4 linked regions of the Xenopus tropicalis genome follow. The protein of the gene in region 3 purifies or fractionates together with the protein of the main gene of each other region. This does not show direct contact. Links are inferred from orthologs where the notes say so. Each region holds a gene or a part of one and is shown on either strand. Other genes may lie near its edges.

Region 1 (2,759 bases), about 48 Mb from region 3:
CCGACACAAGCAGAAACTTCTTCCCAATCCCGCCGGGTTATGTCCGGTCTGTTTAACTGAAGCCATTTGTGGGCGTGGCACCCCGGGGGGGGATTTGTTACCATAACATGTCCCCTGTGTGCCAGGCTCCCATGCCCGACTGTCAGTGCGCATTAGGCTGCAGAGAGCGACATGCAAAGGCAACAACTGCCTCCAATGGGGGCACATTAAGGGGTTCTGCCCTTGACCCCGGGGGGGATTTCCATAAGAAACAGCTAAATACTATAATAGAGAGAGGATTCCGGAGGCGCCCACCTACAGGTGCCCGGGTCAGTACCCACCTAGGAGGCGCCCGGATCAGTACCCAAGAGGCGCCCGGGTCAGTACCCAAGAGGCGCACACCTAGAGGCGCCCGGGTCAGTACCCAGGAGGCGCCCGGGTCAGTACCCAGGAGGCGCCCGGGTCAGTACCCAGGAGGCGCACACCTACAGGTGCCCGGGTCAGCACCCAGGAGGCGCCCACCTACAGGTGCCTGGGTCAGCACACAGGAGGCGCCACAGACAAAGGCCGCGTGTGTAACAAAAGAAACATTTAATATGACACTCCCCAGTTATCTACAAAGGCCGTGTATAAAGCTGCCCGCTGGGCACTGCCGCTGTGCCACGTGGTTGCCATGGGGATGCCCCTACAGAATGGCATTGGGTGCAACCCGGAGAATAAGTGCCCACAGCTCTTGGTTGGAGGGTAAGAGTGGCGCAGCGATGCAGTAAATGATTACAACCATAAAGCCTGACTGATCAGGAAGTCAGTGTCGCGACAAAACAAGGTCCCCCCGAGGGGCCACACAGTCCCATCATGCTCTCCTGCGCTCAGTTCTCCACTTCCTCCTCTTCCACAACTTCATCTTCCTCCATCTTCTCATCTTCATCCTCATTCTCCTCTTCACGACTCTTGTCCTGATCCTCAGAGTCGGCCTTTTTCTCCTTGTCTTTTTTCTTCTGCTCCGTGGCCTCTTTTTTGCCTTTCTGATCCTGCCTGTAAACTGGGTGGGGGTAAAGGGATAACAATTACATGCACGGCTGGGGGCAGTTACACAAACACACATAAGGTGGGATTCTCACATAGAGCCACAAACAGCCCCCCCCCAGCCCAATAAATAGTGACTGTCTGTGGCACCTTACAGCCCCCCTGGCATTCCCAGTACCCAGAGCCACAAACAGCCCCCCCCCAGCCCAATAAATAGTGACTGTCTGTGGCACCTTACAGCCCCCCTGGCATTCCCAGTACCCAGAGGCACAAACAGCCCCCCCCCAGCCCAATAAATAGTGACTGTCTGTGGCACCTTACAGCCCCCCCGGCATTCCCAGTACCCAGAGGCACAAACAGCCCCCCCCCCAGCCCAATAAATAGTGACTGTCTGTGGCACCTTACAGCCCCCCTGGCATTCCCAGTACCCAGAGGCACAAACAGCCCCCCCAGCCCAATAAATAGTGACTGTCTGTGGCACCTTACAGCCCCCCTGGCATTCCCAGTACCCAGAGGCACAAACAGCCCCCCCCCAGCCCAATAAATAGTGACTGTCTGTGGCACCTTACAGCCCCCCTGGCATTCCCAGTACCCAGAGGCACAAACAGCCCCCCCCCCAGCCCAATAAATAGTGACTGTCTGTGGCACCTTACAGCCCCCCTGGCATTCCCAGTACCCACAGATTGCCAGTCCAGGTCCATTTGCTAACTTAACACCTTCCCTGCCAAGAGTACAGAGCAGGGTGGAGTAGAAGGAGGAGACTGGTACCTTCCAAGGATTCTTTCAGGGGTGTCAGAAAGCGCTGGAATTCCATCTCTTCCATTGCAGCCAAAACATCAGTCGCGTTTAGAGTCTTCCGCTTCCCCTTCATGGCAAAGTTGTTGGCGCTTTAACATATGGAAAAATACAGCAAGTTATAAGCCTGAGAGTAACATCTACCGGGGCATCACTTCCCTCTCTGTATATTTGTATTTATACATATGGGTAGGGGGTGCCATAGTGTTTCCCTTAGACAGTACAGTATGGGGGTACAGCTTATTGTGTGCCCAGAACATTCCCTCTCTGTATATTTGTATTTATACATATGGGTAGGGGGTGCCATAGTGTTCCCTTAGACAGTACAGTATGGGGGTACAGCTTATTGTGTGCCCAGAACATTCCTTCTCTGTATATTTGTATTTATACATATGGGTAGGGGGTGCCATAGTGTTTCCCTTAGACAGTACAGTATGGGGGTACAGCTTATTGTGTGCCCAGAACATTCCCTCTCTGTATATTTGTATTTATACATATGGGTAGGGGGTGCCATAGTGTTCCCTTAGACAGTACAGATGGGGGTACAGCTTATTGTGTGCCCAGAACATTCCCTCTCTGTATATTTGTATTTATACATATGGGTAGGGGGTGCCATAGTGTTTCCCTTAGACAGTACAGTATGGGGGTACAGCTTATTGTGTGCCCAGAACATTCCCTCTCTGTATATTTGTATTTATACATATGGGTAGGGGGGTGCCATAGTGTTTCCCTTAGACAGTTACAGTATGGGGGTACAGCTTATTGTGTGCCCAGAACATTCCTTCTCTGTATATTTGTATTTATACATATGGGTAGGGGGTGCCATAGTGTTTCCCTTAGACAGTACAGTATGGGGGTACAGCTTATTGTGTGCCCAGAACATTCCCTCTCTGTATATTTGTATTTATACATATGGGTAGGGGGTGCCATAGTGTTTCCCTTAGACAGTACAGTATGGA
Region 2 (2,877 bases), on a different chromosome or scaffold from region 3:
TGCCAGGATGGTCTCATTATGTGGGGACCACTGGACCTGCTCAAAAAAAAAAAAATTATGAAATCTGTTATTTCTAGCTATTCTGCATTTCACAATATACATGTCAGGCTTACAATTTGTGCACATTATCTCAAAATAGTAACCCTTTATGAGAAGACAGCTACAGACTGTATTACGTCAGACCCAAGTCTTATAGGGTCAGATCAAAGTGACAAGTGGGGTTAAAGTCCTTTATACATACTTCCATTTTGCCTTCATTTGCCCTTAAAGCAGACAGTGTAAACCATTTTGTTCCCTAAAAGCTATGATAAAAAAAAAATTCAAGACAATACCTGGAAAATTTCATCTTTGTGAGATTCAAATGAATGCAACTTTAATTTCAGATTGCGTAGGTCCCATAATGCAACAGTCTGAGAGAAAGACGAGGGAAATATAGTGTAACGTTAGAAATCATTTGGTAGGAATAAAAAGGGCCCTTAAAAATCCAGATGCATCATGCAAAACACATTAGGCCAAACAAGAGCAAAATATATACACTTGAATTGCACAGACTACTTGTGATCCTATCTAAAAGTAGCTGTTTAAATCTGTCTACAGCATGAGGCTTAAAAAAGTACTCATACACACTAATTTCCAACAGCTTTCCACATTGCTTTGTAAAGTATGTATTACAACCGACCCTTGCTTTGAAAGCAGGCCACAGCAGGCCATGTGTTATTTTGTACGACAACCCCACAGTAGTTAGAAATACTACAATAAAGCTGGCCTGAATCGTGACCAGTAACGTAATCAAGTACACTTTTTTTTTTTACATTTAAAGTCTGTGCCCAAAAAATGTATTTGCAAGAAATGGAATATTTTAAATGGTTTTCATTCTACAGTTCATTTGGCTTGTGGCACTTGGGGGGCAGATTCTTAACCTCGGGAATAAGTGCAGGCCGAGAACCTGCCCCCTACACTCTAAATATATGGAAGCGGCTGTTCGAGCATGCAGTTTCGGGTTAAAATATTACGCAAAATATGGTACGAAACTGCATACGCAGTTGCTCTGAATTCCACTTTCATCTGCAGGCTTGGTATCCATCCCACGTGGCACTAGTCTATAAGAACCACATTCTTCCTGCTCAAGAAAAAAACCCACTGTATTCTACACAGCTATACAAACTTGCACCTTTTAACTTAAATGTCCTTTGAATGCATCCTAAAAACTAAATTTCTTTGGTACAAGGGACACGTGATACAGGATTCAGAACTTTACTAATACACAAAAAAAGTCAGTCAACATATGGTAAAATGTAATGTTTACCTTGTCAGCTGACCCAGTTGCCAATATGAACTCGCTGTAAGGGTTAAATGACAGACAGTTGACTTCAGCTGTGTGAGCATCCACAGAGTGGCTGGGCTTTGATGTGTTGTTTGATCGGGTGTCCCAGCTGTTAACAAAAATAGGACTATCACTCCAGTCTTAAGAAAGGCAATACAATAAGTTCCCTCTGAAGAGGCAATAAGCTTTAGCTGACGAAAGTTACTTTATAGTTTTGGTTACTGCTGGCTGGCTTGGGAGCTAAGGTGGAGGTAAAATGAAGGTATACATATGGTAATAGGCAAAGTTCCAGCCAAAATGACACTGGTGGGGGTTTGGGAGCAAAACTAAACTTCGTGCCTCTGCTTGTTTGGCACTTCAGCTAAAGCCAGAAAACAGCAAAATGGAAGTACACTTTTTCATAATTTTGAATTACATTTTTAATTTGTCAATAACTACAAACAAACAACAACAAACTACTAAACAAGTTTAAAAGTGCCTTTACAGCACTGAAATTCACCAGTACTGCACAGTCAGAAAGTTCCCAGTGAGTGCTTCATTTAATAATGATGCAAAATAATTACACAGAAGTAATATAAGCTTAACATACCATACTTATTTAAGGGTTTCCTCTTGACCCTTTATCACACTAAGGGGCCCATTCACGAAACCACAAATTTTTTTTTCCATATTTTTAGCTTTTAATATTAACTCCACTGGCTATTCTTTAATTTTGGTTCTCATCCACAATTATGAATAGACTTCTTCCTTCTCCACAGCATTAAATCTGCATAAAAAATGTCAATGATCTATTGCCTTTATTCATTTATTTATGCAGTGGCAGACTTCTACCTAATTTGAACGTGTGCGTAGAAAAAAATTTTTCCAAAATAATTCCAATAGAGAACTTAAAAATAACCCATGTGTACTATTTAACAACCAGAAACTGAGGTTTCATGAATGGGCCCCTAAGTGTTGATTTTTAGGACAAAAAAAATCCACCCAGTATGTGCAATGACAAGCAGATGCCGTTTCTATCACTGAATCAAGCCATTCCATTTTTCTCCACCAGCATAAAAAAAAAAACTTTACATTTACATTAATGTTATTCAGGAATTTGTCCAGTAAGTACATAAAGGATTCATAAATTAAATCCAGTTACTCTAAATGCAATTCAACTGCTTTAAAAGAGAACTAAACCCTAAAAATGAATATGGCTAAAAATGCCATATTTTATATACTGAACTTACTGCACCAGCCTAAAGTATCAGCATCTCAATAGCAACAATGATCCACAACTTCAAACTTGTCAGAGGAGCTCCCCATCTTGGAAAGGGTCTGCGACACCCACATGCTCTTTGTGATCTGGGCAGCTGAACTTAGGGGTTGTTGCAAATTATCAAGCAAAATATAAGGTCGTCATATAAGTGGATACCACAGGGCTGATTATTACATTCTGATACTAATTGCACTGGTTTTAAAGCTGCCATGTAGTAATTATTTGTATTAATTACTAATACATTATATATATTTATCAATTAATTATAATGCAGCATATATATTCTATATCCATG
Region 3 (3,572 bases):
GTTATCTTTCCTGGTTTTTGGTTAGTGCTTGCTTTAATGTAGATATAGGCCTCCTTGATTTTTCTTCTGGGGTCAGCAAATTAAACCTTAGTAGACTAAATTAAAAGAGTAAAACGTTTGCCACCATTTTATTGGCCTTATTATTATTATTATTATTCAACTTCTACTGATAGAGGAAGGTGAAAAAACTGAATCTTTTAAGCAGTTTTCAGTCTGCTGCAGAAAAATCTTCCTCGTTCCCTAATGTAACTGGGCAGTAATGTATTTCTTATCTGCTAAAAAGGCATCTAACCTTTTCTTAAACTGACAACTATGCAGATTGCTACTTATAACTACATTATTACTACCCATAATGCCATTCTCCAGGATATAAGCTTGAATGTGATCTCTTCAAGTAAAACTGTAATCTGGCTTCTCTGTGATACAGAAAGGAAAAGGGATTTTATTCATTCTTACTACAGCTTCTTCCTGTTTTCTGGGTGTTAAATTATAATTAATATACAAAAACACACCCCCTCTTTTTCTATTTACACTGCTCCTTTAAAGCAAAGTATGCCTCAATACTTACCCCCTCTATCCCCTATTTCCTGTTATAACTGAAACAAATATGTCCCTTATTTATTTTAGCTGCCCCTTCCCTTCCAGTACATACACAATGACACTTGCCTGGTCACATCCCCCCATCTGGTCATGTCCCCCTCTCCCTGCTTGCTCTAAGGTAGGAAAGCACCCGAGGAGGGGGGATTTCTCTACAGCCATAGCAGAAGCAGACCTAGAGGGGCCTTTTCCTTTATAGTTACACCAATTGACATTGAATTGAAGGCACTAAGCCCACTTATGTTCAATTAATGCCAAAATAAAGTTTCATAGTTTGTATAACCCTATTTCAACTCTCCTATCCCCACTGTGAGATGGAAAAGGACAAAGAAAGCTATAATAAAACTTTATATTACATATTAACTTTATTCCTCTAGAGCAAATGGAGATTAATATTAATATAGAATGTTCTGCCAGTGTAGAAAATGCTACTACTCTGCAATTCCCAATAAACCTTAGTTAATTAGAATACACTAAACACATACTGTGAGATATTTTAGTGCATCGAGTAGTTAAATGGGTCAAAACCTGCACACTATATTTATGTTTTTCTTCTTATAATGTACACAGTACACTTAAATGTTAATGCAATGTGTATAAAATAATAAAAAAATATTACATCATATGGTTGCCATCAAATTTTCTAAGCAAATTAGCTATTTATTATTCTTACTATATGCTCATAAGGCCTTCAAACAAGTCACTAGATTTATTGATAAGTACATGGTATTCCTCCATCTGATTAACACTGGTTAATTCCTCCATTCCTCCTGATTAACATTGACATTTACAAAACTTGAATCTGCATGGAATCTATAGAGCAGTTTGGTAAAAGTTTCCAGCAATCTTATTGTTTAAACAGCAAAAAAATATGTTCTCCCTCTGTATATTATTTCCAATAGGCACACATTTCAGTGGCAAGGTTTAAATCTTTCAGCAGTTTTTCACTTGTAAGCGAGACATTTATTTATATTTGCTTACTAAACAGAGCTGAAAACTTTGAGACATTTTTGACAATAAAAATAAAGTGATAGCTGTGGCCCGCTCTCATTTTTCTTTTTGCCCTGTCATCGGTTAGTGCTTTGGGGTTTATGTGCTGGAAAGATGTATTTAAGTATAGAAAAGTCATAGAAATTTGATTGAGTTGCTCTATGGTTCTGATTTCAAAATTGTAAGGTTAACGTCAAAAATGATCATTATATGAATGCTCAGATACTGAGATAAAAAATAATGAGGTTCAGCAATTAGAGGAAAAGCTTTAAAGCAAAACTCTTCCCCTGAACAATGTAGGTCTCTACATTAATATATTGCATAAATAAGCTCATATGTAAAATACTGTTTCAGCTAAATAAACCATTTTCATAAAAATATACTTTTTTAGTACTGTAGTATGTGCTTTGGGTAGCCCTAAATAGAAAATTGTGATTTTAAGTACTATGGGCTGCCCGCTGGGAGCATACAATTTACTGGACACACATACATGCTAGGTCACATGAGCTCATTTAAAGTTCTGTCTTTTGCTCCCACGCTTCTTCCTGTTACAGGTGCATTATTTCCTGTCAGGTGACTTCTGAGGGAGAACACGGACCATCACAAAACGGTGGCTCAAGTAAAAATAGAAGAACGGAAATATTAACTGCTATTCATATTCATATTCCAGTGTGGTAATGCTCTTTAACAGGCCACTTAATATTATACAAATTATCTGTTGGTTAAGTATTCATTCTGGGGATATAGTTTTAGAGAGCTAATTCATATTATAAGTAGGGTAACAACAGTGTTTTATTTATAATCTGGAATTTTGCTAGTCCAAAACTACCAGATAAGTGGGGATCTATAAACAAGTACATAGTTATGCAGGATTTCTGGGGAAGACACTTCACTACAATTAGTATGATGAACAGAAACTGAAGCTTTACATCAAGCAATTAAAATAGAAGTATGCTTACCATGGCAGTCCTTGATTTGATAAACCAATCAAACCTAAACTGAGGAGCATTTCGCACGCACTGACGTAATTCCTCGTATACATTTTCCTTATCAAAGCCCATTTTATGAAGCATGCATATGAGAAACCTGTCCTCTTCTTCTGTATAGTTTTTGCCTTTGTTTGTGCCGTACTGGATTCTCAGCTGATGAAAAGGAGCTTTGTACCTTGCAATCTAAACACAACAAAGAACAATATTCTTATTAATCCCCACATTAATTCACCAAAAAGTGAAAACCTCCAGCCTACCTTCTAGAAATCACTATAAACACATATTTAATGTTCCGAGCCAAATGCCTTTCCCTAAAATACTAAGGAAAAAGTGTGTTTAGCACATGAACTCATGCTGAAAAGGGTGTGTACTTCCCCTCTAAAATAATTATCAGTTCTGCTTGAAGAATTTAAAGGGAATATATTTCTTTATATGGCCCCCCCCCCTTTTTGTCATAAGCTCATTCAATTGGGCTTATGTAGAAAAGGTACACAAATCTTAACTTCCAGATTTAAACAGAAATGTGTTTTTTAATTCCTCCGTTTTAGTGGAAACCATGATCGTCTACTTGTGTTTTACAGACCAGTTCCTTACCCCGCCTTTAGTCTTACAGACTGATCCAACCCCTCCATCACCTTATCCCATTGTGAAGCGATTGCTTCTGGCACTTGAAGTCCCACTACTTTTCAGAGAATTCATGCACCACCCGCTATGGATAGCAAAAGGAGTTCAAGTCCCAGAATTCATCACTTCACAATGGGACAAGGTGATAGGTGGACAGGAGTTGGATTACACACATGTACTGCAATAGATTTATATTTATTTCTTGAAGTTCAGATAGCGTTTATGCACTTTTTATACATAAACCCGAGAGAAGCAACTTCTGTCTGCAGATTTACTGTTAGAGCCCTTAGCGCCCCTGTACATTTTAAGAACGTGTACTCAATCCTTTCTTATTGTGTTATGACTACTGTATCAGTCTTTTGCATCTTTTCA
Region 4 (4,266 bases), on a different chromosome or scaffold from region 3:
TGGCTGTGCCCAAAGCTTAATGATTTCTCTCTCTATTCTGCTTCCCTACAAAGTAAAGCTTGACATGTAAGCTGGTTGCTAAAGTCAGTGACCTTAGCAACCAGATTTTGGCAACCAAAGAGTAGTTTATATCTGGACTTTATATCTATCTGGACTATATATCTATCTATCTAGACCTTATATCTAGAACACCCGTCTGTAAGTCGCCGACCCACTTAGGTTTAAACGCTATGGGACAAGGACCTCCTTTCTGGTATCTGGAGCACCCCAACAGGGTGGCAGCGCCAGACAAGCACCCCATATGCCATAAACCTGTCACTGGTAAAATTTGGGTGCCTCTAGAAATGTCCCCTTTACTCTTTCTATTTTGTCCACCAATCCTATTTATGGTTCGGAAGACCTATATTTAAGTTTTTCTTTTCTCTCTGTTGCATTGAACGTGGATCCGACTCCAGATGTTACAGGTTCAGCGGACAAAAAAAAAAAAAAAAAAAACAAATTACATGGTGTTACATCATCCAGCACCCTGGCGCTCAGGTACAAGAGACCAACGAGGTGCCTAGTGATTACTGTAACCCTCCGGTAAAGGGGAAGTAAACCCAATACGGGAGAAGCAGCTGATTAACAAACAAGGAGAATAGATTTCTGCTACATGGCTTCAAGAGTCAGAACCAGTGGACAGACAGCAATGAGAGTAACACATATAAACCCAGGGAGAATGAGGAATGAATGGGTATTGGGGAAGTTGTATCAGGAGTCAGAACCAGCAGTGCAGGGAAGGGAAAGGGACAGACACAGTGACAGTTACACATAACTATAAACCCAGTGAGAATGAGGAATGAATGGATATTGGGGAGTTGTATCAGGAGTCAGAACCAGCAGTGCAGGGAAGGGAAAGGGACAGACACAGTGACAGTTACACATAACTATAAACCCAGTGAGAATGAGGAATGAATGGATATTGGGGAGTTGTATCAGGAGTCAGAACCAGCAGTGCAAGGAAGGGAAAGGGAGGGACAGACACAGTGACAGTTACACATAACTATAAACCCAGTGAGAATGCGGGATGAATGGATATTGGGGAGTTGTATCAGGAGTCAGAACCAGCAGTGCAGAGAAGGGAAAGGGACAGGTACAGTGACAGTTACACATAACTATAAACCCAGTGAGAATGCGGGATGAATGGATATTGGGGAGTTGTATCAGGAGTCAGAACCAGCAGTGCAGAGAAGGGAAAGGGACAGGTACAGTGACAGTTACACATAACTATAAACCCAGTGAGAATGAGGAATGAATGGATATTGGGGAGTTGTATCAGGAGTCAGAACCAGCAGTGCAGGGAAGGGAAAGGGACAGACACAGTGACAGTTACACATAACTATAAACCCAGTGAGAATGAGGAATGAATGGATATTGGGGAGTTGTATCAGGAGTCAGAACCAGCAGTGCAGGGAAGGGAAAGGGACAGACACAGTGACAATTACACATAACTATAAACCCAGTGAGAATGAAGAATGAATGGATGGGTATTGGGAAAATGCTTAATATATATTTCTGGGTTTATATCCCTATTGAAATAAAGACAGAGCGGTCGCCGTGCCCCAGGTACACGGATACGGGGTTAATCCTATGGGCATTTAATGGCAATTCTCACTGACTAATCGCATATCCCCCTAATCCTGCGGCACGGAGAGAACTCGGGCAAAGTACTCAAGGAAAAGTTTAACCATTTCTATTTAATTCCCAGAAAAATAAGTCTATCCAAGCACTTGGGCGCCCAAGACACCAGCAGAACGAATGGGTTTGGCCCCATTGTGTTTCCCATATTCCAGTGCCACAGGGCTATAAAGTCTCCCATTAAACTGGTAGTCAGTGCAGAGACGCCCCTGTGTGGGTTGTAGAACTACCAATCCCAGCATCCTCTTGGGAATTGTAGTGCAACAACAGCTGGCTTGCTGCAAGCACTTACCCTTCACATCAATGAGCAATGAGTTACACTCAAACCCACTGGCTACATTTAACCCCTGTTATGCTGCTAAAAGCTAAATAAGACCGTACTATCTTATGGGGGGGGGGGGGTTAGAGAAATCTAAATGAACTATGGGGGGGGATATGCAGGGCAAATAAGGTAGAATAGGACTTCTGGGGGTCCAAGAAGTTTAGATATATGAGCAAATAGGTAGGGAGGGCACATTACTGAGAGAATAATATTGGGAAATCGAATTATTGGAATAACGCAGCTATTGCCCCGGCCCTCAGGCTACTCAAGGGGTGCTGGGGATATACCATCAGACAGGGGGTGCTGGGGATATACCATCAGACAGGGGGTGTTGGGGATATACCATCAGACAGGGGTGCCCCATACCCAGGCTGCAGTCTCTCAGTCCCAGGGAAAGTTGCCGCTCAGTAGTAGCAGGTACCCCCCCCCCTTATCTCCCAAGTTTAGCCCCAAACTCAAAGCGCCATCGCCCCAAACTCGTAACGCCGCCCCCGGCCCAGGTGTAGCCTCCGCTCCCGCCCCCAGGCCCCCGGGCCCCCCGGCCCCTCACCTCTATCTCGAAGTCCGGCAGCTGGAAGGCGGTGCGGAAGAGGGAGCAGAAATGCGCGATGGCGGGGACCCGCCAACAAGAGCGGAGCTCCCCCAGGGCACCGACCGGGGGCATCCCGAGGCAGCACCCCGAGCCCGGCTACAGCGTGTGGGGAGCTCCGGTACAATGTGATCCCCGGCCGGGCTGGGAGCAGATGGAGCGGGGGAGGGGGCTGGGGAGGGAGGAGACTGGGGGAGGGACTCGGAACCCACTCCGGGCACACTACTCACTCATATACACTCACTCACTCACTCCCTCCCTCACTCATATACACTCACTCACTCACTCCCTCACTCATATACACTCACTCACTCACTCATACTCACTCACTCATATACACACTACTTACTCACTCACTCACTCATACTCACTCACTCACTCCCTCACTCATATACACTCACTCACTCACTCATACTCACTCACTCCCTCACTCATATACACTCACTCACTCATACTCACTCACTCACTCATATACACACTACTTACTCACTCACTCACTCACTCATACTCACTCACTCACTCCCTCACTCATATACACTCACTCCCTCACTCATATCCACTCACTCACTCACTCATATACACACTACTTACTCACTCACTCACTCATACTCACTCACTCACTCATATACACTCACTCACTCATATACACTCACTCACTCACTCATATACACTCACTCACTCACTCATATACACTCACTCACTCATATACACACTACTTACTCACTCACTCACTCATACTCACTCACTCACTCATATACACACTACTTACTCACTCACTCATACTCACTCACTCACTCCCTCACTCATATACACTCACTCCCTCACTCATATCCACTCACTCACTCACTCATATACACACTACTTACTCACTCACTCACTCACTCATACTCACTCACTCACTCATATACACTCACTCACTCATATACACTCACTCATATACACTCACTCACTCACTCATATACACTCACTCACTCATATACACACTACTTACTCACTCACTCACTCATACTCACTCACTCACTCATATACACTCACTCACTCATATACACTCACTCACTCACTCATATACACTCACTCACTCACTCATATACACTCACTCACTCACTCATATACACTCACTCACTCATACACTCACTCACTCATATACACTCACTCACTCACTCATATACACTCACTCACTCATATACACACTACTTACTCACTCACTCACTCACTCATATACACTCACTCACTCATATACACTCACTCACTCATATACACTCACTCACTCATATACACTCACTCACTCATATACACTCACTCACTCATACACTCACTCACTCATATACACTCACTCACTCATATACACACTACTTACTCACTCACTCACTCATATACACTCACTCACTCATATACACTCACTCATATACACTCACTCACTCATATACACTCACTCATATACACTCACTCATATACACTCACTCATATACACTCACTCATATACACTCACTCACTCATATACACTCACTCCCTCACTCATATACACTCACTCATATACACTCACTCACTCATATACACTCACTCCCTCACTCACTCATATACACTCACTCACTCATATACACTCATTCACTCATATACACTCACTCACTCATATACACTCACTCACTCATATACACTCACTCACTCATATACACTCACT

What was found.
Region 1: the proteins of smarca1 (region 3) and pole3 purify together in Homo sapiens (affinity purification with mass spectrometry; 3 studies listed by BioGRID and IntAct, with this or other methods). This does not show direct contact. The link is inferred for Xenopus tropicalis from reciprocal best matches to the Homo sapiens genes SMARCA1 and POLE3.
Region 2: the proteins of smarca1 (region 3) and rbbp4 purify together in Homo sapiens (affinity purification with mass spectrometry; 5 studies listed by BioGRID and IntAct, with this or other methods). This does not show direct contact. The link is inferred for Xenopus tropicalis from reciprocal best matches to the Homo sapiens genes SMARCA1 and RBBP4.
Region 4: the proteins of smarca1 (region 3) and cecr2 purify together in Homo sapiens (affinity purification with mass spectrometry; 3 studies listed by BioGRID and IntAct, with this or other methods). This does not show direct contact. The link is inferred for Xenopus tropicalis from reciprocal best matches to the Homo sapiens genes SMARCA1 and CECR2.

The regions. Positions count from the first base shown.
Region 1 is NC_030684.2:2,374,140-2,376,898, reverse strand, and holds the end of pole3 (DNA polymerase epsilon subunit 3), read right to left. Parts: intron 1,893-2,759; coding exon 1,774-1,892; intron 1,022-1,773; coding exon 849-1,021; 3' UTR 554-848; downstream 1-553. UniProt on the Homo sapiens protein: Accessory component of the DNA polymerase epsilon complex. Participates in DNA repair and in chromosomal DNA replication.
Region 2 is NC_030678.2:90,302,067-90,304,943, forward strand, and holds part of rbbp4 (histone-binding protein RBBP4), read right to left. Parts: intron 1,434-2,877; coding exon 1,307-1,433; intron 411-1,306; coding exon 333-410; intron 40-332; coding exon 1-39. UniProt on the Homo sapiens protein: Core histone-binding subunit that may target chromatin assembly factors, chromatin remodeling factors and histone deacetylases to their histone substrates in a manner that is regulated by nucleosomal DNA.
Region 3 is NC_030684.2:50,389,251-50,392,822, forward strand, and holds part of smarca1 (probable global transcription activator SNF2L1), read right to left. Parts: intron 2,760-3,572; coding exon 2,547-2,759; intron 1-2,546.
Region 4 is NC_030679.2:8,775,318-8,779,583, forward strand, and holds the start of cecr2 (cat eye syndrome critical region protein 2), read right to left. Parts: upstream 2,803-4,266; 5' UTR 2,664-2,802; coding exon 2,550-2,663; intron 1-2,549. UniProt on the Homo sapiens protein: Regulatory subunit of the ATP-dependent CERF-1 and CERF-5 ISWI chromatin remodeling complexes, which form ordered nucleosome arrays on chromatin and facilitate access to DNA during DNA-templated processes such as DNA replication, transcription, and repair.